Linked DNA regions of Alligator mississippiensis. The protein of the gene in region 2 interacts with the protein of the main gene of each other region in a pairwise test. Links are inferred from orthologs where the notes say so. Each region holds a gene or a part of one and is shown on either strand. Other genes may lie near its edges.

The links. The genes of interacting proteins can lie anywhere in the genome.
Region 1: the proteins of C15H11orf68 (region 2) and EIF4H interact in binary tests that used the Homo sapiens proteins (3 or more experiments, as listed by UniProt). The two-hybrid records come from large-scale screens. The link is inferred for Alligator mississippiensis from reciprocal best matches to the Homo sapiens genes C11orf68 and EIF4H.
Region 3: the proteins of C15H11orf68 (region 2) and CSDE1 interact in a two-hybrid assay, tested with the Homo sapiens proteins (2 studies listed by BioGRID and IntAct). The link is inferred for Alligator mississippiensis from reciprocal best matches to the Homo sapiens genes C11orf68 and CSDE1.

What each region holds. Positions count from the first base shown.
Region 1 is NC_081837.1:13,864,445-13,872,354, forward strand, and holds the start of EIF4H (eukaryotic translation initiation factor 4H), read right to left. Parts: upstream 3,004-7,910; 5' UTR 2,952-3,003; coding exon 2,893-2,951; intron 1-2,892. UniProt on the Homo sapiens protein: Stimulates the RNA helicase activity of EIF4A in the translation initiation complex. Binds weakly mRNA.
Region 2 is NC_081838.1:4,275,375-4,282,311, reverse strand, and holds the start of C15H11orf68 (UPF0696 protein C11orf68 homolog), read left to right. Parts: upstream 1-3,936; 5' UTR 3,937-4,108; intron 4,109-4,336; 5' UTR 4,337-4,386; intron 4,387-4,794; 5' UTR 4,795-4,892; intron 4,893-5,577; 5' UTR 5,578-5,602; coding exon 5,603-6,328; 3' UTR 6,329-6,937. Other genes in the region: DRAP1 (dr1-associated corepressor), read right to left, coding at 138-223, 542-632, 1,222-1,347, 2,099-2,192, 2,361-2,433, 3,473-3,514.
Region 3 is NC_081837.1:45,638,477-45,646,256, forward strand, and holds the start of CSDE1 (cold shock domain-containing protein E1), read right to left. Parts: upstream 3,004-7,780; 5' UTR 2,395-3,003; coding exon 2,233-2,394; intron 1-2,232. UniProt on the Homo sapiens protein: RNA-binding protein involved in translationally coupled mRNA turnover.

The sequences.
Region 1 (7,910 bases), on a different chromosome or scaffold from region 2:
CCCTGACAGGTTTTGACAAGTGAATTTCTTAGGCTTGACTTCTGTATGATTTTTAGATCGTAACAACAGGTCATGCAAGTTCAACAGGCTACTTTATTCACCTGTTTCACCCTGTATGGGTCAATTATGCAAATAAAGTAAAAACCACTTCAAGGGAAAGCAGCAACACTCCTACTCCTGGCTACCTTCCTCAAACTAAAGGAAGCACTGACTCTGACTTAAGGAGATAGCTGGTTTGAACTACAGGAATGCATTAGACTGCCACGCCATTGTTATGTAGCAAAAGGTGTTGCATTTATTACTTGTGCTGTTGCAGCACCGGGACTCCCAGTTACAAGCCAGAGTCTAGCTAGGTACTGTACAGTTGGGTGCTGCCCCAGATATTTTAGATAAATGACAATGCCTGTCTGTCATAAGCATTTGGAAGAATAAGCAAACAGTGAAACGATACTAATCAGCACAACAGACAATGATAAGTGGAAGTGAAAGGCAAATATCTGAGATGGTAAACAATGTTACATTTTAATCTGTGCTTGAAAATCAAACCAGTTTCCATACGTATTTCTATTTGACACAGTGCAAACAGTTTCCATTGGTCAAAGTGTTATGACTTAAATTAACATAATAGCTTCTGTTTTGGTAAAGTCTCAATGGATCATGCTACATTCATCCTCCAATCAGAGCTAATTCCTGAAATGGACACGGTAAAGGAAGAAATAACTTTAGAATTTAAGAAAATGGCATTAATTCAGAAGCGTCAAGCATAAGGTTTAACTACATTCCAATTAAGTATTTGTTTCTATGAAAAAGAAAAATAAAATCAAAGGGAACATATTCCTTCACCTATAGATATTAGTTGGTGTCCTAGATACTACGGTCCTGGGTAGGACTGTAAGTCCCATCTAACTGGAGGGCTGGGGGAAAACGTGACAGGGCAATGCACGGCAGGGCAGCTCCTATTAAAAAAACCACAGTGTTGCAACCTCCAGAGTAAGGCGAGCATAGGGCACCTCAAAACCCTAGCCCCCATCGCCTTGTGGGTAACTCCTTGGTTGGAGAAAGGCTAAGGGACATCACCCTGACAGAAACGCACCCTTGCTGAGGCATTTGGCAGTCAGCAGCAGTTCTTACCTGCTGTTCTCTGCAACAAGCTACAACAGTAAAATGCAGCCCGTGGGCCAGATGCAGCCTGCCAGGACATTCTATCTGGCCCGTGGGCCCCCTAAAAAATTTAGGGAATATTAATCTGCCCCTGGCTGCCTGTCATGCGGTCCTCGATGGCTTGCTAAAGCTCAGTAAGCAGCCCTCCACCCAAAATAATTGCCCAGCCCTGAACTACAACCATTGAGGCGCTGAACGTCTGGACTCGCTCTGGCTTTTGAACGGGGGGGGGGGGGGGGGGGGGGGGGGGGGGGGGGCCACACAGGTCTTCGGCAGCCTCCCCTCCTCTGCGCTCTTGCCTAGGCACAAGCATCCATGACCTTGGTGTGATGGTCACAGGACTCCATACAAGCAGACTCATCAGGCACCCGACTAGACCTTTTACACACTCACCGTGACCCAGAGTATTGATGGTTGCCTACTAGATACTTACTGAATCTCCCTGATTATTTTCTACTTTAATAATGACCAAAACAAAAAGTAAAATCTGCCCTTTGCTTGAAAGATACACTGCCTCCACTGCAGCCCTTAGTTTATTAAAGCTGACCTGTATTTTAATACTACCTCAGGACAGACCCCTGGCTTGTCTGCACAGACCCACACGAACATGGCTCTGTACTGTACAAGCCACACGCTCTACAGACGTGCAAAGTACAGCTCCTTCAATGCAACTTACACTCAGTACCTAATGAGTCAAGGGCCAAAGCGTTGGGAACACGGCAGCTGTTGGGAATATTTGAGGGGAAAAAAACACATTAACGCTAGGTTAACTTAAATTGTTATGTCTTGAGCTTTTCACAGAAATTTTTGTTCACCAAGCGCCTTCGCCGCTGCTCTACAACATCCAGAGTTGCTGGAATTAATTTTAAAAATTCTATTCTTTCAAGCTATTTTCAAATTTGTTCCTATTTTAAAACACAGCCTATTTTAACAATTGTTGCAGCAGCAGGACACCAACTGCCCTTGTCACCCTGCTTGAACCTGTGGTGTTTTAACTGTGCCTTGCAGCTGAGAGACAGGTTCAACGGTATAGTTTTAATAACCTGGCATTTACTCAAATCCAAGGAGGGTTTTAGTAACATCACCTTTACTCAAGTCCAAGAGAAGGGTTTTAGTAACACCACCTTTACTTGAGTCTAAGATGAGGGTGTTACTCGAATCCAAGGCGAGGGCAGTAGTAACACCACCGTTACTCGAATTTCTGGTTTTAGTAACACCACATTAACCCGAAGCCAAGATGAAGGTCCGTGTCCATCCGTCCCCCATTCAACATGGGGAAAGAATAACCTCGTCCCAGCAAGAATTAGATCCTATACGTGAAAAGTGAGAGCAAACGTAGCAGGCGTCCCACGCAGAGCATTTAATTAACGGGGGAGTCTTCCATCCGCAGCCGGTTTGGATCCGGGTGCTTGAGCAAGGACTTGTGCGGGCGGGTTTGGTTAGGGAGGATGCTGCCTCGGGGCAGGGGCGACCAGACCTGCAGCCCCACCGCCCCGGTGGGCACGGCCACACAATGCTCTTCTCCGCCGGGGCCCCGCTCAGACCAAAGGCTGCTTCCACCGCCCAGGCGCTCCCGCCACCCGACGGCGCGGAGGGGCCGGCTCCCCCTGCGCTGCGGCCCGGCTCCAACCCGCCTTTCTGCCCGCCCCGCCCGGCGCTAGGCCCGGGCTCCCCGGGGACCGGCAGGAACCGCCGCGCGCGGCCCCCGACCCCAGCCCGGCCCGCGCTCACCCGCGGCCGCCGCCGAAGCTGCTGTAGGCCCGATCGTCGTAGGCATCGAAGTCCGCCATCGCCACCTCAGCCGCCGCCTCCCGCGCGAGCGTGACAGGGCCGCGCCCGCAGGCCCCCGCGCCGCTTATATAGGGGGCCAGCGCGGGGCTGCCCGCCGCACTGCCTGCGCCGTCGCCGCCCGCCTCCCGGGGCTGCCCCGCGCGATGCCTGAGCCGGCGCGCCGCCCCCACCACCACGTGGGTCGGGCCCGGCGGCGCCATGGAGCGTCACAGCGCGGCGCGGGGCCTCCGCGCGTCACAAGGGTCCGGGCCGCCCGCCGCCGGGCCCCACGGATCAGCCCAGCCCAGCCCAGCGCGGGGGCCCCGGGCCCCGCCACAGCACCGCGGCTCGGGCCCGGCAGTGCGGCGAAGGGACGAGAGGCAGGGGAGAGCGGGCTCTCCTCTCAAGGAGGAAAAAGGGGGGAAGCGGCTCTTACCTTGCGGCCTGGCGGGTCTCCCCCTCCGTGTGTCACACCCGTGTCCTGCACCCCCTCTCCCCGTCCCCCCTACACCCTAGTGGCCCCCATACGGTCCCTAAGTCCCCCCCACACACCCCTGTGTCCCACACATATATCCCCATGTCCCCCTGACACCCCTATGCCTCCACACACCCTGTGTCCCCCATGCCCCCCACACCACCCCATGCCCTGCACATCCCCCCACACTCCCTGGTGCCCCCATGCCTTGCACACCCCCATGTCCCCCACGCCCCATGTGCCCCACATGTACACCCCTGTGTGTCCCCCTTCCCCCCACCCCTTGGCCCTCCCCCATATAGCCCCCCATGACCTTCACATACACCCCCATGGCCCCCCATGCACTGCGCACCCCCCCCATGCCCCGCACACCCTCCCACTCTGTGCCCCACACATACCCCCCATTTCCCACACTCCCTAATACCCCCCCACGCACACCCTTGCCCCTCCCTGTGCCCCCCCCACACCTTTGTGCCCCAAACACACCCCCATGCCCCATGTGTTTTCTACCTAAATTATTCACTGGGTCTGGACTGGCCGTGGATGTTTCCATGGTGGGTCCTGGTACAAACAAGGTTGAGACCCGCTGTGCTAAAGGACTGGTCTAGCTAGACCAGGCTCAGGGTGATTAGGGGTTTCCAAGGGGAATAAAACCCAGTTTTACAGCCTGTGTGTTCGCAGCACTGTCTTTGGCTCTTCTTAAAAAATGTCGAAGGCATTTGTACCTTACAGACTGGCCAAAGAGAGAGAGATGCATAAAAACACACGTACATGTGTATGCATACATATACATATATTAATCAAATGACAGCGTATGTGTTTAGCACAAATTTCCAGAGCCGAAGCTCAATTCATAGGTGTGTGTGTACCCAGCTATCTAGCCCAAGCTTTTCCTTAGTCTGTATCTGGTTAGATATATATCTGGTTAGCCTACAAAGTGCAAATCAACTCTGCCTTCTTGATTTCAGATTAATGTGGTTTAGTCTCTTTTAACAAAAGATGTCAGTGAAAGTACTGGATGCAAACAAGCTCCTGCGCTGTCTGCAAGAAAAGCATGGCAGTGCTGTGCCCTGTATGTGGGAACGGGAAAACGATTTGAAAAAATGCGCAATTGAAACTCAGCGAAATGCTGAAAACAATGCCAGGGCTTAAATGGTAAAAGCTAAGCCCTAAGTGCTGCGTGTGATTTCAGTTTTAATAATCTGTCAGAGGTAGATCAGGATACTTGCAAAATCAGAAGCAATGCACAATCAGGATATTTCGTTTAAAAATAATGTACTTTTAGCTAGCTGGTCTTAAAATATTATTTGCATTCTGTCAGCATCTCTTTTAAGTTCATCACAGATAGCCTAGCAATTATTAGTAAGGTGATCAAAAGTGGTTCTTTCATACAGCAGACCCCATTGCTGCTCTCTCTTCTTTAGATAACTGCAACTGACCTGAGATAAAGTGATATTTTAAAAGGAAAAGCAACCAATGCCACACATTTATTGGTGGTTCTTCTTACTCTATGAGCTTCCTCTGTCGTTAATAAAGATCACTTTTTTTTTCTTTTTAATGGTGCTGTGGGCAGGAAGATAATGGACTGACTGTAGTAAGGGTTTCCTAATATATTCCAAAGTGTGTCATTTGCATTATTGATTTGTTTTTTCTACTGGACCGTGGTTTAGGGTTTTATTATAGAGAACTACAACTTATTGATTTTCCCCCATCTGACTGTGTCAATAGGCCTAGTGTCCCATCCCAGACAATACTAAGCTGTCACAATGCAAAAGATTTTGTTTTTTGAGGGAAGCTTTTCCATATGACATTGTATACCTTGACTTCCAAAAAGCCTTTGGTCTGGTATCCCATGATGTCTTCATGAGAAAATGGGAGGATTGTGGGCTTAACTCCAAGATGGTCAGGTGGGTAGGAAATTGGCTGCGGGGTAAGCCTCAAAGAGTCCTAATGAACTGTCCTGAGTTGTCCTGGCAAGAAGTGGTCAGCGACATTCTTCAGGGGTCCATGCTTGGTCCAGTGCTTTTCAACATCTTCATCAATGATTTGGATGTGGGTCCAAGTTCATAGATGAAACCAAGTCAAGGAGGTGATTCTATCACTCTGCTTGGCATTGGTGAGACCGCAGCTGGAGTACTGCGTCCAGTACTGGGCAGTGCACTTGAACAAGGATATGGAAAAGCTTGAGAGAGTCCAGAGAAGGGCCATCCATATGATCAGAGACTTTCAAGGCAAGACATATGAGGAAAGGCTGAGGGACCTGGGACTCAAGCCTGAAAAAGAGAAGGCTCAGAGGGGACCTGGTAGCTTACCACACTACATTAGGGGAGTACATCAAAGGCTCCGTGAACAACTGTTCACCAGGGCACCCTTGGGGTAAACCAGGAGTAATGGCCACAAACTCCTGGAAGACCATTTCAGACTCAACATTAGGGGAAAACGTCTTCACAGTCAGGATGTGCAGACTGGAATAAGCTCCCTCCACAGGTAGTGCAATCACCTACTCTGGAGATCTTCAAGAGGAGACTGACCCCAGTCACCAGACCCCAGTTGTCTTTCCTTTCTGGTGCAGGGGACTGGACCTGATGATCTTCCAAGGTCCCTTCTGGCCCCTTACAATTTCTGAATCTATGAGCATCTATATCCAGCTGCCATTTGAGAGTCCAGGTTACGCACTTTCAGTCTTCAAAATCTTGGTCACTCCCCAGTTTTTGGGAAAATAAGACAAAACAACTCCAGAAAAATTAAATATTAGAGGTGCACCGATAAATATTGGATCGGCACCAATAAAAAGAAAATGAACTGTATCGGGAATCAGCCTGATGTCTCTGATAATTGGGCAGATAAATGCCTGTGCATGCGCACAGATGCAGGCAGCGAGGAGCACAGCCCAGCAACATGGAGAGCTGTGTGCAGCTGGTAATTCTGTTGTGGTGGAAGGGGAGAGGGGAGGGAAGGGGCTGGGGGGCCCACAACGAGGGAGGGAGTGGGGCTGGGGCACACATTGCCCAGCCGGGGCAGGGTGGGGTGCAGGACAGAGGGGGGGCAGCTCCCACTGCTGTGCCCCACCAATGGGGGGGGGCGTGTGCCCAGAAGGGCACGGGTGGTGTGCCATCAAGTCTGTGCAGGGTGCAGGCAGGGAGGGCTGCAGCTGTGGACTGGCTCTGTGCTGGGCTCTTCCCCCTGGGGCTGGGCCAGGCTGTGCTTGGGGAGGTGGGGGTGACAGCACTGGGAGGGGGCTTACGTGGGGGGGCTGCAGCCACCCCAAATTTCACCATAGCCCCTCCCAGCACCGTGGCAGCCACCTACTGCAGCCCCCACTGGGAAGAGCCTGGTGCAGCCCCAGCCCACAGCTGCAGCCTGCCCTGCCCCATGCAGATCTGTGGGGCACACGCACACCCCATGCCCTCCCAGGGTGCACACAACAACGGGAGCCCCCATGCCCCCCATCCCACACCTGCCCTACCCTAGCTGGGCAGCACCTGCCCCAGCCCCACTCCCTCCCTCACCATGGGGGACCTTGATCTGCCCCCCGCCCCTCCCCATCCACCACAACAGATTTACCAGCTGCATGCAGCTGTATCGGAAATTGGATTGGTATCTGCTGATAAGCCTCCTTAAAAATTGGCTATCGGTATTGGCCCCCCAAATCTCTATTGGCGCACCCATAAATAATTTTTTTTTTCTAAAGAGTCTACCCCACATCATTGCTTATTGGCGACATGTAGGGGGTGCACGCGGGTGCACGTGTACCTCCTCAGATCGGCGGTGCACTCCCTATGAAAAGCACTGCCACTCGCTCCTTGCCACGGCCCCCCTTGCTGCCAACACCACCAGCAGTGTCTGCAGATGGTTGCCGACTGCCAGCCAGCGCTTGCCTAGCCCCCGACACCGCCGTGGCCACCTCTGGGAGCTCCCCACTCGGCCTGCCCGGCTGCCAACACCGCCTGCAGGCGGTCCCTGTGCCCCCCAGCCTCCGGGGGCACGCGTCGTTCATGTCATTGCTTTATGGCAGACTGGGCTGCCTTCCCTCAAGGGCAGATGTAATTAATTGACTTTAAAGGCACCTTATCTTGGTGGGTCACTGTTCTAGGTGGAGAATAAACTGGTACCAATACCGCTGCACCCATTTTTAAGTTATCCCGCTGTAAATCATTTTGGTGACCCTTCTCAAACTACAGGCAGTCCTCAGACTTACGACGCAATTGGTTCCTGAAAACCGTGTCTTAAATCGAAACGTAACTCGGAACCGATTTTCCCATAGGAAACAATATCGTAAATGGGGGATTTGCTCCTGAACCTAAGCCCGATACCTTATTTTCACCAAAAATAACCCAGAATGTTGTACTCGATCAATGATAGTCGTATAGAGCACACCGCCTGCCGAAACTTCCTTAGCCTGATGAAGCCTTTTTGAACCCGAAAGCTTGCTTAATAATTGTTTTCCCCGGTCTTGCTTGCCCCTGGACCTGCAGCTCACCCACCCCCTCGTGCCCGCGTCAGT
Region 2 (6,937 bases):
AGAAGGGGAGAGAACCCAGGCATCTGGGCATCCAACACCCCAGCCCCCCCCCAGCTGAAGAGACCCCAGGTATCCTGGCTCCCAGCGCCCGCCCCCGCATGCCACGCCTGGAGAGAATCCAGGCTCCGGGTCAGTACCTGGGGAACGTGGCGGGGGGGCGGCTGGGGGGCAGCGTCTGCAACGTCTCCTCCTCAGCGTCGCTCTCGCTGTCCTCCGAGTCCTCCTAGAGGGAGATAGGCAGATCACGGGGAGCCTGCCCCCCACCCCCCGGGCACACATCTGGAGGGGTGGCGCTCCCCAGAGCTGGGTGCTGGGGGCACCGAGGGCCAAGGCAGGGGAGGGGCTCATCCCCAGGGACGCAGCACAGGTGTGAGAGAGGTGTGGGGAACCCAGGTGTCTGGGAGCCCATCCCCCCAGCTCTCACCCCCCTCTCACAGCTGGAGTGAACCCCGGTGTCTGGGCTCTCAGGCTTGCCCCCTGGCTCCCACTGCCCTCATCCCGGTGCCCAGGAGTTTCCCCTGCCTGGCCACCCTCGCCTCACCTCTTGCTCCGAGTCAGTGCCCGACTGCTTAGGGTCCTTGCCCTTGGCCCCTGTCCCGCCGTTCTTCCTCCCGCTGCCCGGCTTCCGGCCCCTGCATAGACCCACCAGGCATCAGAGTCCCTTGCCGAGCCCCCCCCACAGGTTGAATCCCAGTAGGTGCAGTCAAATTGCAGCCACCTCTGGGGTGCAGCATGGCAGGTCTCAGAATTTGGGGCAATGGAGCCCCTGGTAGCCCAGATGAACCCCCCACCCAGGGTATTGGGGCCTAAAAGGAGAGAGCCCCCCTGCAGCACCCCCTACTGCCAGGGCATTGGCACCCAGTCTCCCATCCACAAAGTGATCCCAGCTGATCCTGCTTAGCTTCCAAGGGGTGTCAGGTGCTAGATGGGGAAAGTGTCCCCGAGCAGGGGCAGTGGTGGTCTCCCATCCACACACAGACCCTCTTCAACCCTGCTTAGCTTTCCAGGGGCAACAAGGGCTGGTGGAGCTAAAGCACCCCCTCCTCATTGGCTCCACCCCCACTAGCTCCACCCCTTACACCCAGCACCCCCTTCTGGCCCTGCCCCTCCAGAGCTGGCTCCACCCCTGCAGCCCAGCCTCTCCCACTAGCCCTGCCCCCCCAGACCTGGCTCCACCCCCTCACTACCCAGCACTCCCTGCTGGCCCTGCCCTGCACTGACCCCCACCTGCGGGAGACCCGCTCGCCCTCCATGTGGTTGTCCTCAGCGTCCCCCTGCATGTCGGGCACGGAGGCCACCAGGTCCTTGAGGAAGTCAAACTGCTGCTCCAGCTCGATGCACTGCTTCCTGCAGGGGGAGGGGCAGGGGGTCAGAGGGGGCAGGGCCAAGCCACAACCCACCCCTCCCCCCAACCCATCACATCCCCAAGGTCTCCCACAGCCCCCAGCAGGATACTTCCCCCTGCCAGGGAGATTCACAGCCCCTGCCAGGCCCCTCCAGCCCATGTTGATTGAAAGTGGGGAAACTGAGGCACAGAAGCCAGGTTGGGACTGTCCAGAGGGGACACGGTGAGGCAGGGGGAGAGCTCCCAGACCCCTCCCGCCCCTTGCTCTAATCCCTCAGCACAGCCATTCTCAGCCTTTTTTGTACCAGGACCCATTTCTACACTTCAGCGGCCAGCCCCAACCCGCTCCCCCACGCCCCGGCCCCCAGTGCGTGGGGCAGAGGGCCCAAGTAGCCCCTTGCAGGCTGGAGCTCTGCCCGCCTGCAAGGGAAGAGCCGCGGTGCCCACATTTATCTCCATTAAAGGAGAATTCACTTTCAAGTTTGTTCTTTCGTATGTTCTTGCGACCCACTTCTGGGTCGTAACCCCCAGATTGAGAAACGTTGCCCTGGAACCCACCCCTCCCCGAGCTGGAGGAAACCCAGGGATGCGGGCTCCCAGCCCCCCCGCTTTCACCCCCAGCCCACTCCCCTTCCAGAGCAGGGAGAGAGCCCAGATCCCTCCCACGCCTTGTTCTAATCCCCTAGACCCCAGTCCCCTCCTGGAGCGGGCAGATCACCCAGGTGCCCAGGGGACGGGACCCGGGGCACTCACAGGTGGGACGTGGTCATGGTCTTGGCGTTCCTGGACTGCGTCACTTGACAGGCCTTCCTGAGCAGCGACTCCAGGAACAGCTCCAGTGCCCGGGCTGTGGCAAGGCAGGGGTTAAGGGAGAGACCCCAGGTGTCCGGGCTCCAGCCCCTACTGCCCTCCCCGAGTCCAAGAGAAGCCAGGCATCCGCCCGGTCCCTCAGCCCCCGCTCCCCTCCCAGACCCTGAGAGAACCCAGGCAGGCGTCCAGGCGTTGCCAAGGATACAGATGATGACGGGGACAGCAGCCGCCACCTTCCCGATCTCCTCGTCCGTCTGCATGATCTTCTTGATCCGCGCCTGGGGGTGGGAACAGGTCAAGAGCTGGGGGGGCAGCCTGAGCTAGAGCCCCCCAGGATCAGGCCCAGATCAGGGCTATTTCTCCCCTCCTCCCACTCCCCTCCCAGAGCCGACAGAGGTCCCAGACATCCACGTGCCCGGCATCCCAGCTCTCCACCTTTTCGCATGGCCGAGCTGGGGATCAAACCCAGGCAGCCGGGCTCCTAGACTCCCCTGCTCTGATCCACTGGGCCCCACGCCCCCCCAGCACCGGGGGGCTCCCAGATGCCTCTACGCTACGCCCCCCACGGACCTCCTCTCCCCGTGCCCCCACCCCAGACTCAGCTGCAATCCCCCATGCCTCCTCTGCCCCCTCCCACAGCCGGAGACAACCCAGGTGTCCCGGCTCCCACCCCTCTCCCCCCAGCCCCCCCCCAGAGCCCCAGACAACCCAGGCGTCGGGCGCTGGACCCGGCCCTAGGAAGGAGTCCAGGCTGCCGGGCCCGAGCCTCCACGAGGAACCGGGGTGTCCGGCTGCCAAACCCCCAGTGTCGGGAAGGGACCCGGGCGCCAGGCCCTGGCCCCAGAAAGGGCCCCAGGCAGCTGGGTGCCGGGAAGGGGCCCAGGCATGCGGGCCAGGCCCTCGTCTTCAAAGGAGCCCAGGGGGCCGCGTACCCGCCCGGCCCCACAGATACCCCGGGGCCAGCCCCGGAGGAGGGAAGGGCCCGGGGGAGGCTGCGAGGTCCGAGGTCACAGGCCCTGGGGCGAGGGGGGCGAGGGCGGAAGGTCGGGGTCACAGGGAAGGGGGCCAGAGGGGCGCAGGCTCCGGGGGATGGGCGGGGCGGGGCGGGGCCGGCTAGGGCGGGGTCAGGGGTCACAGGCGGTTGGGGTCAGGGTGGCCGGGGGGGGGGGACGACCCGGAAAGGAACCGAGGCGTCCGGGGGGGGGCCCAGGGAGGGGCCCAGGCGCGACCACCCGGCGCCCGAGGGGCCCCGCCGTCCGGGCTGCAGCCCCCACCCGCCAGGATGGGGAAGGGCCCCAGGCGCCGGGCCAGGCTCACCGGCGGGAACCGCGCGTTGTATTTCTTCTTCTTGCTCGGCATCGCGGCCCGCTGCGCCCCGCGCCCGCCCGGTCCTAGCGCCGCCCGCCGGCCTGGCCCCGCCCCCTACCCCGCGCCCGCCCGGTCCTAGCGCCGCCCGCCCAGCCTGGCCCCGCCCCCTGCCCCGCGCCCTAGCACCGCCCATCCCAGCCTGGCCCCGCCCCCTGCCCCGCGCCCGCCCTGTCCCAACACTGCCTTCCCGGCTCGCCCCGCACCCGGCCTGGGGACGCCCCGCCCCTACCCCCACACCGGGCTCCCCCAGCCGCCAGGGAGGGCCCCGCCCCTAGTCTCGCTGACTCCGCCCCGCGCTGTCCAGGTACCTCCCGCAACCTTCGAGCCGGGCCCCGCCCCCGGAGGCCCCGCCCTTTCATTGCAGCCCCTCCCCTCCCCCTCCTCTCCCGGAAGTCCTCCCCTCCCGAGCAGCTCCTTTCCGCCTCTGTCCAGACGTAACTTCCTGCTTCACCCTCCGTGCACCTCCGTGTCGGCTTCTGCCATTTCCGGTTTCCCCCGTCCGACCCCCCCCGTTGCCTCCCCCCGGGCTCGGCCCCGCCCCCTCCCTCAAGATGGCGGCGGCCGCGGGCCGCTGAGAGGGGCCAGGTGAGGGCGGGGGCTCGTATTAGGGGAGGGGCTGGGGGGGCCTGGCACGGGGGCGGGGCAGCGACTGGGGGAGGGGGCCTGGCACATGGGGCTGGGGGGGCTCCTATGGGGGGGGGGGCTGGGGGCGCGGGGCCGGCTGATCATGGGGCTGGGGGGCACGTCGGGGGCACCTGGTGCTGGGCAGGGCCCCGTACTGGGCGGCCTCAACCTGCCTCCTCTCTCCCCCAGGGCAGCACCAGGCAGCAGCCCCCTGCCCCGGCTCCCTTCTTCTGCCGCAGGTAAGGCGGCCCCCGTGGCAGGGGCAGAACGGGTCCCTCCACGGCTGAGTGCCCTGGGGTGGAGGCAGCTGGGGGGAGCGGGTTGATTGCCCCGGGTGGGGGGGCAGAATCAGAAGCCGTTGGGGGTGGGAGGGCTTCTCCGCAGGGCAGGGGGTAAAAGAGCCCTCACCTTCCCGCTCCCTGAGCCCCAGCCCAGCCCAGCTCTCTGGGGCTACTTGCCGGGCAGAGAGCTGCCGGGCAGAGATGACCCGAGCAGGGTGCGGGGCCCTGCCCCTGCTTCGCTCCCGTGGGCCCCGGACCCAAAGAGGCTGGTGGGGTGCAGCGAGCGGCTGGACGCAGAGCTGCTGCTCCATGGGGGCCCCGAAATCATGGGGCCCAGGGCAGTTGCCTCTGTTCACCTCCCCCTAGGGACAGCCCTGCTGCTAGCCAATTAATAGCTCGGTTAATTGGCTTGTGGATTCCCCCGACCAACGCTAAACGTACAACCGAGGAGCTAGCCCTGTGCTGTAAGTTAATTAACCAGCCCCCTTCCCAATCGCAACTGATTAGCTGCCTGCACCCTAAATTAATTAACCATCCCCCTCCAATTGGAGCTGTTTAGCCTGCCCGCTTGTACTATCCTCGGGCTAATTAAGCAGCCTTCCCCTAACGGTAGCTCCCAAAACAGTCAGGCTCTTCAGTCAGCTTAGCCCACCCGCCTGTGCTGATTAGCTGCTCCTGTGCAAAGTTGAAGAGCCCCTTGATGGAGTGAATTAGCCCCAAACCTAGGGCAATTACTGAAAATAAACCCCTTTGACCAGGTAATTAGCCTGCCTGTCCTATGTGAAGCTGATGAGCCTTTCAACCTGCCAGTTAGCCCACCTGCACCATACCTGAATTAGCTTGCCCTCCCTAATTGAAACTAATTGGCCTGCCTGCCCCCTGCTTAAGGTAATTAGTTTGGCCCCTGCCAAACAAGGGAGCCTCTTCCTCAGAATTAATTAGTCTGCCTGCCTCTTACCTAAGCTAATTAGCCTGACCAGTGCAAAGCTAGAGCCCCTTTCTCAGAGCTAATTACCTTGCCCGCTCCTCACCCTAACAAGCTTGTCACTCCAAACTAATTAGCCCACCTGCCTCCCAGCCTTCCCATAAGGCAGCTGTGACACCTGACCTTTTCCCATACCTCCCCCCTACCTTCCCCCGCATTGGCAGGTGCCTGCTCCAGGACCCAGCAGCTATGTCAGACCAGGATGAGGGCGACGGGGGCCGGGATGGCCCCTTCTCAGCTGAGCAGCTGGCGGCCGAGTCAATGGCAGCCGACATGGACCCGTGGGTGGTGTTTGATGCCCGGCGCACCCCTCGGGCCGAGTTTGAGGCATGGCTGGCCACCTACCCGCCCTCCCGTGTGGCCCGCTATGGCCCACGGCCCGTGGGCTGGATTGCCGTGTATGGTCCCGGCTACAGTCCTGAGGCGGGTGACGTGGTGGGCTTGCAGGAGGCGTGGGAGCGGCTGCAGCTGAGCGGCCGCTCCGTGACCCACACCACAGTGCGGGAGCTGGCCCTCAACCACGGCGTGCTCACGGGCAAGTGGCTCATCCACCTGGACACAGGCTTCAAGGTGGACCACGCCTGGGCTGGTGTGGCCCGGGCCGTGCTGGACGGGCGCTTCACTGTGGCCAAGGTGAGCCCCTGCCACCCTGATGGTGAACGGCGCCACGTGGTGTGTGTCTACACGGATGACTTCACAGATGAGGAGCATGTGCTAGCTGCCGACGCTGCCATCCGGGCTGCTGGCGTCAAGTGCCCGCTGGCCTACAAGCCCGATGTCTACACCTACCTGGGCATCTACCGCGACAACCGCTGGCGCCTCTGCCCTACCATCTACGAGAGCCGCTTCGACCTGGAGTGCGTGCCCCGGCGCTCCCGCGTCCTCAACAAGGTTACCAATGCCGAGGTCACTTAAGCATTGTGGGGGGGCCCGGCCCCCCCCTTTGACTGTTCACCCCCCTGTCCCTGGACTGGAGTAATGGGGTGAGGCTCTGTGTCCCAGCATGCACTGCTCCTGTGGAGGGGGTGGGGGTCTTGTCCCCTTCTGCCTATCTTGGACTATCTGCCTCCCTGGACTGGAGCTGTGGGGCTGAGGTTATTTATCCCAGCATGCACTGCTTCTGTGTGGGGTGTAGGGTCTTGCCCCTCCCTTAGATTGTCTGCCCCCCTCACCTGAAGTGGGAGTGAGGCTACATGTCACAGCATGCACTGCTTGGGGGGGGGGGGGGTTTCTGGCCCTGCCTGGACTGGAGCAGTGTGTCCCACCATGCATTGCTCCTGTGGGGTCTGATTCCCCTGAATTGGAGCTGTGCGGCTGAGGTCCTGTATCCCAGTATTACACTGCTTCCTTAGGTGAGGAGGGGCTAGTAGGCATGCCCCCATGCACAGGCTGGGCTGGGGCTGGGGTGGAGACTACAAGTCCCAGCATGCACTACTTCCCTGGCTCAGGGCCTGCTGGGAAGTGTGGTCCAGGAGCTCTGGCAGCTTAACTCTCTCATGGCCCTGTACTGGAGGGGCTCTGCCC
Region 3 (7,780 bases), on a different chromosome or scaffold from region 2:
AGAGACCAACAGACCTTGTTTTGGAAAGGCAGAATAAAAGGAATACAATATTTTTCCAGTCACGGCTGAATCCTGTTTATAGCTACTCAGGCAAAAGCTACAGTTTTAGCTCAGTCGTAGCCAGGCACGTTAGCAGCAGCCATTTTTGGCTGCTTGGGCAAAAGCTACTGCTAATTAAGCAGAAGCCATGAAAAGGTTAAAACTATGATGCTGCAGAGTGCGCTCTTTTACCTCCTCCCTCTCTACAGCCATAGAAAATAGCAGAGCTCTAGCAGCAGTTACAGCATCCCTGTGCTTTTTATTCCAGCACAGACATCAGCCTCCCAGTTAAAAATGTACACCCCAATTGGGAGGGCTGATTCGGGGGGGGGGAGGGGGGGAAGATATGTGGTGTACAAGTAAATATGGTAAATCTGACACAAACAGCCTGTATGTTAGACATGGGCAACAAGTAAATAGGATTTTCTGCCAGTTCTTCAGAACGGGGGGGGGGGGGACACCCTCTAAAATAGTTTAGCTTTGAGACAATTAACTTCACATTTGGAAGACCAATAGATTTAAACAGATAAAAATAGGCTGTATTGATGACATAAAACTAAATCTTTGACTTAACACAAACAAGTTTTATTTTAAAGATACCCTAAAACATCAGGTTGCTTGATAAATGCTCTATGCAGTGCCCTCCATGAAAATATTCCCCACTTACTCTTTTACATTTGTCAGCTTTAACACAGAATTACCATCCTTCTTAAATTTAATCTGCTTTCACCAGTTAAGGTAATACAACTGTTAAAAAAAAATTAAGCCTTCACAGTATTAAAATTATTCCCATGCTGAACTAGTCTCCAGGCTTATGTTTTAAGAGGACATAAAGCGGCCTTTTAAGAATCCAGGTGTAGCTAAAATTTTGTGGTATAAATAACACACACATGAAAACATCTAGATATCCTGTGACATGCAGGAGCTGGCAACTCTATAAAAGAGCTTGATTTAAGTTAGTAAAAATGAATCCAACCACTCTTCAACATTTCATCCCCAAGACATCTTACATGCACTTCCTTCTAAAATGTATTAATAAAGGGTTAACCAGCACTCTTCAAACACTGCTTGCTTAGGTTTATAAAATGTTAATAGAAAATGTATTGCAAAGGTTCCAACATCCAGGTTTTGCTACTTTAAAATGGAAATTTGTTATATATCCTTTAAAACTAACACTAGTTACTAGTTAGTACTGACAAACAGCCTGAAAATGTGCTACAAGAACTGTAACACTGATTTCTCCAAATAGCACAATCAAGACAAGTTGCGCTCGACACGCATTTTGAACACTACAATGAATGTTTTCAGGCACTGCAGTTCCCAACGCATCTATTTAGGACACGGACCAAGGCTTCCCTTTGTGTTATCAGGTATCTATATTCTAGGTTTGTTATAACTTCAAGCAGAAGAATTCACAATTAGTTAACTCCACACATTTACTAGAGTTGGAAAGTTTTGGAACAGCTTAAAAATAGCAAGCTTGGATACTGCAAAACAAAAAAGTCATTTTAATTCACTAAAGTACGCTGTTAGAAACCATTCGTATTACACTGCATACCAACAAGAGTGATGTTACTGAACTTGAGGGGCACAACACAACTGGCTGTGAATGCTCCAACAAGTATATACACTGTTAAGCAGAATTAACATTAAACCCAGGGCAACAGCCACACACTTGCAATGGCCGAGCACTGCTCTTTGAGAAATCACAACAGTGCTCTGCATGGTGCCACAAGAGAAGGGACAATTGACAGCCCCAAAAGGTCCACATTTGCAGCTTCCCTAGAGGATGTCACCTGGAAGCATGTTACAGATCTGTTTTCTTTTGGAAGAAACTTGCAGTGGGTGACAACGGGAACCACAGGGTGCTGTTTTCCTACCCTCCTTTAGGTTATACTTGCTTGGCCTATAAATCAATAACACACGGCCCTGAGAGCACATAGGGAATAAGAGGCAGTTGCACACATGGCAGTTGAGAAGAGTGGGGAATATTAATGCTTGAGTGATAACATCTCTGAAATAAATACCCCTAAGCTTTCCAATTGGCTTAGAAGGAACTGGATTCTTTTACTTGTTGAAAGCATTTGGTATTAGAAGCGTTAGAAAGTGAGAACATGTGTTCAAGACAGACAGTTCCCAAGATCCCCCATGCTTCTGAAACACACAGGTGCATAGACTGCTACCCTGACTTACAGATCTCTGATACAGGGGGGTCCTCTTCTGTTTTTTAGACCCAGATGAGGTAGAAGATGAGGAGAAAGATAAAGGAAGAGAAGGTGGGGGAGCTGCAGGAGGGGGGAGAGGATCTGATGACACAGTATAATGGTTCTCCATCTCACACAGCTGTGATAACATAGTATAATGTTATAACTAGTCAATATTTGGCACAACTTTAAAAATACATCCAAGTCACTGCTAATCAAGTCCAGGTCCTTTAAGAGGTTACACTAATTAGAGCTTTACATTGGACTACTAGATCAACATGCCACTGGTCTTCACAGATTTCTGCAACGTTTTCAAGGACAAGAGTGTGGAGGCCATTTCTAGTTCTCTTCTTCCTCACTTCCCACTTGCAGTGTGGCTCAAAGTAGTAAAGGTATGGCCAGGCCATGCAGAAAGCCAGTAGTCACAAAGACAAGACACCCATTGGAGGTATTATGCATGAAACAAAACACAGTTGCTACAACATTACACACGTGCTATTCAGTTCAGCTGCAATTGTAACAGCACTGCTAAAAACCTGCTAAGCCATGCAGTCCTTTCCATCACAGTCTGTTTTCCAGCAGGAGTACAACTGGTGATATTCTACTATCTTCCTTTCTCTTGCATGATATGAAACCGTGAACAAAACAGGGTTATTTCAAAGGAAGCAGTGGTACATCCCTCAAATTGAACCAACAGCTCAAACAGGCCCTGGTAAGGCTGTGGGAGCCATAAATCCAAAAAAAGAAAAAAGCTAATCCTACATTTTGGGGGGGGGGGGGGAAAACACATGACACTCAACAACTAACTTCCCCATCACCAGAGTGTTTCTTCAGAGTCCAGATACTTAGCAGTATACTAGCATGCCTGCTAACAAGCAGTCATACTTAAGAATCAGAAGACCAGGCACAACTGAGATAACCCACGTCTTGAGGAAAGTTTTGCTTTTATCTCTATTCATCTTCCTGCTTGTTACAGAAAATTCCCTTAGACTGGAACAGCAGAACAGATGAGGTCAAATCCTGAGGGCTACTACATGCCCGCAACTCCCAACAACCGAAAACAAAAAAAAGTTGCAGGTATTCAACAGCTTACCCAATTTGATCCTCTGTGCAATTCCTAGAACTGCACCCTGCTGTTAACTGGTGTGACAACTATTCTCCACTTGGTATACTGTACTCAGCAACTTCACTAACAGCCCTAGTTTAGGAACTTAATCTTGCTGCCAACGCATTCACCACATTGTTAGAAAGCCAGGAAGCATGCTATAGAATGATGTCCTCTTGCACAAAGCTAGAGTACAAGTTAGAACACCACATTGTTCTGATTATATTATTGTAAGCCATAATGTACAGGTATAAGTAACTGCCTAACCGCTTAATCTTAGCTCTATATACGCTGTTCCTATTTTATCACTATTAAGACTACCTTATCAAATGATGCCCCGAACAAATCATATCATGTTTAAATTTATCTAAACGCTTGATGCGTTCCCACAGCATTTGGGAAAAAGTATCAGGTACTAAGAATTATAAATCTTTAGAGAATACCCAAAGAATTTCTAGCAAAAATGTTAGTATAAGCTATGAATTTGGAAGTCTACTCAAATGCAAAATTCGTAATGCCAGCATCTGTCTGGACTAGAAATGCTCAAACACCTTTGTGTTCTCCTCACAGGTTCAGCTTAGGGTGATGTGGCATGTTCTCTGCAACAGCTGCAAATCACTGGAATGCAGTAAGCCTAAAAAGAAACAAATCTACAGCTTCATGAGGGTATTTAACACACTAAGCTGCTTGAATTGCCTCTTGTTGTTTTAACAGCACTTACTCAGTGTTACACTGAACACGTGGCACCACCCTGAAACGATGCACTACCAGCATAAACCAACCCAGAACTTAGGTCCCTGCTCTCTCCGCCCTTCAAAAGGAGCATCTACACTTGTACGCACCCTCCCACTGGCTGTCTTTAACATGTGCAGAGACCAAAAAAGAAACCTGTATCCTGCAAACAGCCAGCGAGGAGATGGGATGTCTAAGAGAGGGAAACAAAATGGATTTCAAAGTGAAACTCACCCAGTGACAGCAGAGGTCAAGCCACTAACTCATTCTGAAAGAGGTCCTGAGAGGACAGTCACCTTCTCTGCTAAGAGCACTCTGTCCCCCCCACAGTCCTCACATTGTGTCAACAAAATTAGCCCTTCCCACTTCATAAATTTACCTGTCAGAGAGATTTCTGTATCAGAGATAGCCATCACTAATGAAACTACTGCAATTGTATTGACAGGAGTTATGTAGTTCAGAATAACCAAAGCCAACCAGGTAAACATCTTGCTGTCATTTTTCTAGCTCAGAAGAGGTTGCTGCATTAGGTCAATTGAGTTAATTGGGGTTTGATTTTAAAAGGAGTGCTACAAGAGTACAAAATAATTTAATGACTAGCCAAAAGATGATCACTTTGTTCAAACTGGAGATGCATTGCCTAAGTTGATACTAACATAGGAAATGGGGTAGAATATGGTATAGAAAACTCCATCTTCTTTCCTGTTTGCCATATCTGTTCAGCAATCCCAACTTCATTTTATGATACTGCACGAATAAACTCAACTGAACTAAACAAAGACAACCTATCACTTTACATACGTTACTTGTACAGTCTCAGCACAAAAGCTACCCTTTAGACAGATTCCGTTAGAGGCCAGATCAAAGACCCCGGAACGGTTGCACTAGTCCATAAAAGTTACATTTGGGTTGATTTGTGCAACACAAGCCAGATGCTTTTGGCTGGACTGGACTCATGGTTGCTATTTATCTTAAAATGTTCACTACCAGTGGCAGACCTCTCTCAAATCTAGCCTGTCACCTTACTGAATAGAATTCCAAAATCCTGCACTATCACCATTTAAAAAAAAGATTCCTCCCACACCTGCCCCGAGGGATCCAGATATATCAGTTCATTCTGCTTTATATCAAAAGACAGCTGAAGAAAACAGACACTTTGGGAAATGTCTGTATTCACAAGATTGTCACATGTGACTGCTGATATATGGCTAATAATGGAAAGCAATCTACACAGATCCCACAAGTATTTTAAAAAAATGCAAGTATAATGGAATTTGGAGCCATAAATTCTACCTTCATACATCTGAAACCAGGACTAACCTATGCAAAAGCAGAATTTAATTTTAAAAACTGCTACTGAGGTATTTAATGCCAAACAGTCACATGTTTTGGAAGAATTTGTAGCTATTTATGGATAGTACATGCACCAACCTCGCAGTGATATTCAAATATTGCACTTTCAGTAGTATTTGCTGATTCTTCTGTTTCAGCGCACGTTTCAAAGGATGAAGATAGTTACAATAAAAAAAAACAAAACAAAAAAAACTAGCGAGAGAAATTGATCTATCAAGCTAATAAAGAATACAACGGCTGCTGTACTGGGCAGTTTCAGCACAGCACTGGAGAAAACAAGGACTATTAGCAGCGTTGGGACGTGCTTTTTTTTTGAAGCTGTTGAGTAGGCACAAACTTCTTGTTTCAGATCAAGTGTTGTGTCTTCAGTGTAAGTTTACTCTTCTTTGGTCTTATGTTGTTGTTACGATGTAGGTTCCTTTCCTGATCTGAACTTGAAGCAGCAGTTTCAGGTGGTAAATTCTGTTCTGTTACACTTCATACTGGAGAAGAAAAAGAAACACATTTTAAGCACAACTTTGAAAGAAGACGTATCACTGACTGTCCCCAAGAGTTCCTACAACCAGATACTTTGCCACTACCTTAATGCCGCAGGTTTGTTCCATGTCGGGAAAGATAATTTACTTTTACAGATGTACTCTAGTATTCCTGGTTTTGGTCTTGGATTCCCCAGAGGATCCACCTCCAACCAAGGTGGAAAAGAAATGTTTCCAACACATGACGGTCTCTTCAGATCCAGTAAGCCTTTCCAAGAAAGCTCCCGGTTTTTATTTATACGTAACAACAAAACAGCAACCTTGCTTTGATCAGTATCAGGTGAATGATGGGCACAATTTAATACAAATCTGAATCTCTTCCTCTGATTTATGATGCTTATTTGACAGCATTTTAAGTGTATTCATTATCAGTTAAATCAACAAGCCTCCATGCATGTAGCAAAGGGTCTTCTACACAGCAGCAGGGAGAGAACAAAACCTTGAACTAGAGCATCACTGTAGACATAACAGACCAGTCAGGTACAGGGTGGTACCAAAAATTCCTTTTTCTACTATGCTGTATGTAGTTCTGGTTGACATCCTAGTACAGTTCTGCATTTCCCAGGAGACAAACAGAAATCAATACCCAATACATAAGGTTATGTCAAAGTCTGAAGGAACAGTAGAAAGAGTTTTTCTTCAAGTAAAATTCGGGCATTTCTCTAAGCTACTTAAAACGGGAGTATATCCTGTTCACCCATTCTCAGTTCACCAGCAGGAAAAAAAAAACAGAAACCAAACAGTGAATTCCCATAATCCCCAGACACTTGGCTGGCAAAGGAGACTCGCTCAGCCTGTGCTAGGAGTAATTTTTGCAGCATCACCCTCCATTTCTCTGAAAGGCTTGAAATGGACAGCTACTCCAGAGAAATTAGTACCCTCCTCTTCCCACCTGGGAGAGTTCCCTGTGTAACACTGACTAGTTTATTGATGTGAACTCATCTCGATGAAGGGAAAGGCTCTGCTCGCCTGAACCCATAGCTGTATCACAGCTGTGTTGCCAAGGCGACAGGAGAGGGCTAGCAAATGATGCAGCAGCAGCAGAGGACCTCTCTGCAGGTCAGACCTCCGCTGGACCCCCAGCCTAATGACACAATCAGCAGGGAGAGAGGCAAAGCCATCTTTTGTACTGTCATGAGAGCTCCAAATGCAGACTGAGTCCAGGCCCCACTACAGGGAGAATCTAGGCAGCAACCAAAGCCCAGGATCCCTCTTCATAATTTCTGGATAAAGTGAGGGAAAATTTAAAGGGGTGGGGGGGAGAAGCGCATGTATTTTTCTCCACAAGCCATCTTTAGTAGTACTCAGCACACTCAAGTCAGGAAGAAAATATGGGTGCGTGTGGTACCCTTCACCCCCTTAACCCTGAGCACTAGAAACAGCTCCACAGTGCTGAATCACTCACTGTTTTCAGCCTTTATAGCTCTAAATAAAGCCTTCCAAATATAACAAAAAATAATTCCCCTCATATTTTCTGTGCCATTAAAACAGATGAGCAAAATAAGTCTCCTTTTCTGCGCATGACTGCGCCAGAAAACAAGGCAGGTTTTTTTCCCCCTTCTAAGAAAAAATGTTTTTAACATTAGTTTTATTATAGGTAAGACCTCTTACTCCACTGTGTTAATACTTGATCAGGAACAGGTTACTTCTGTTCACATTTCATATATGCACACACATGCGTGTGTCAGCTCTGCACTTTATCCAGCTTGTTGTAACCGCTGACCAAAACACCTGCCAAATTATGAAGGCATTTAGGAAGCGATTCTGGGAAATGCAGTCCAAGCATGATTTTAGACCTCTCTCCACTCCAA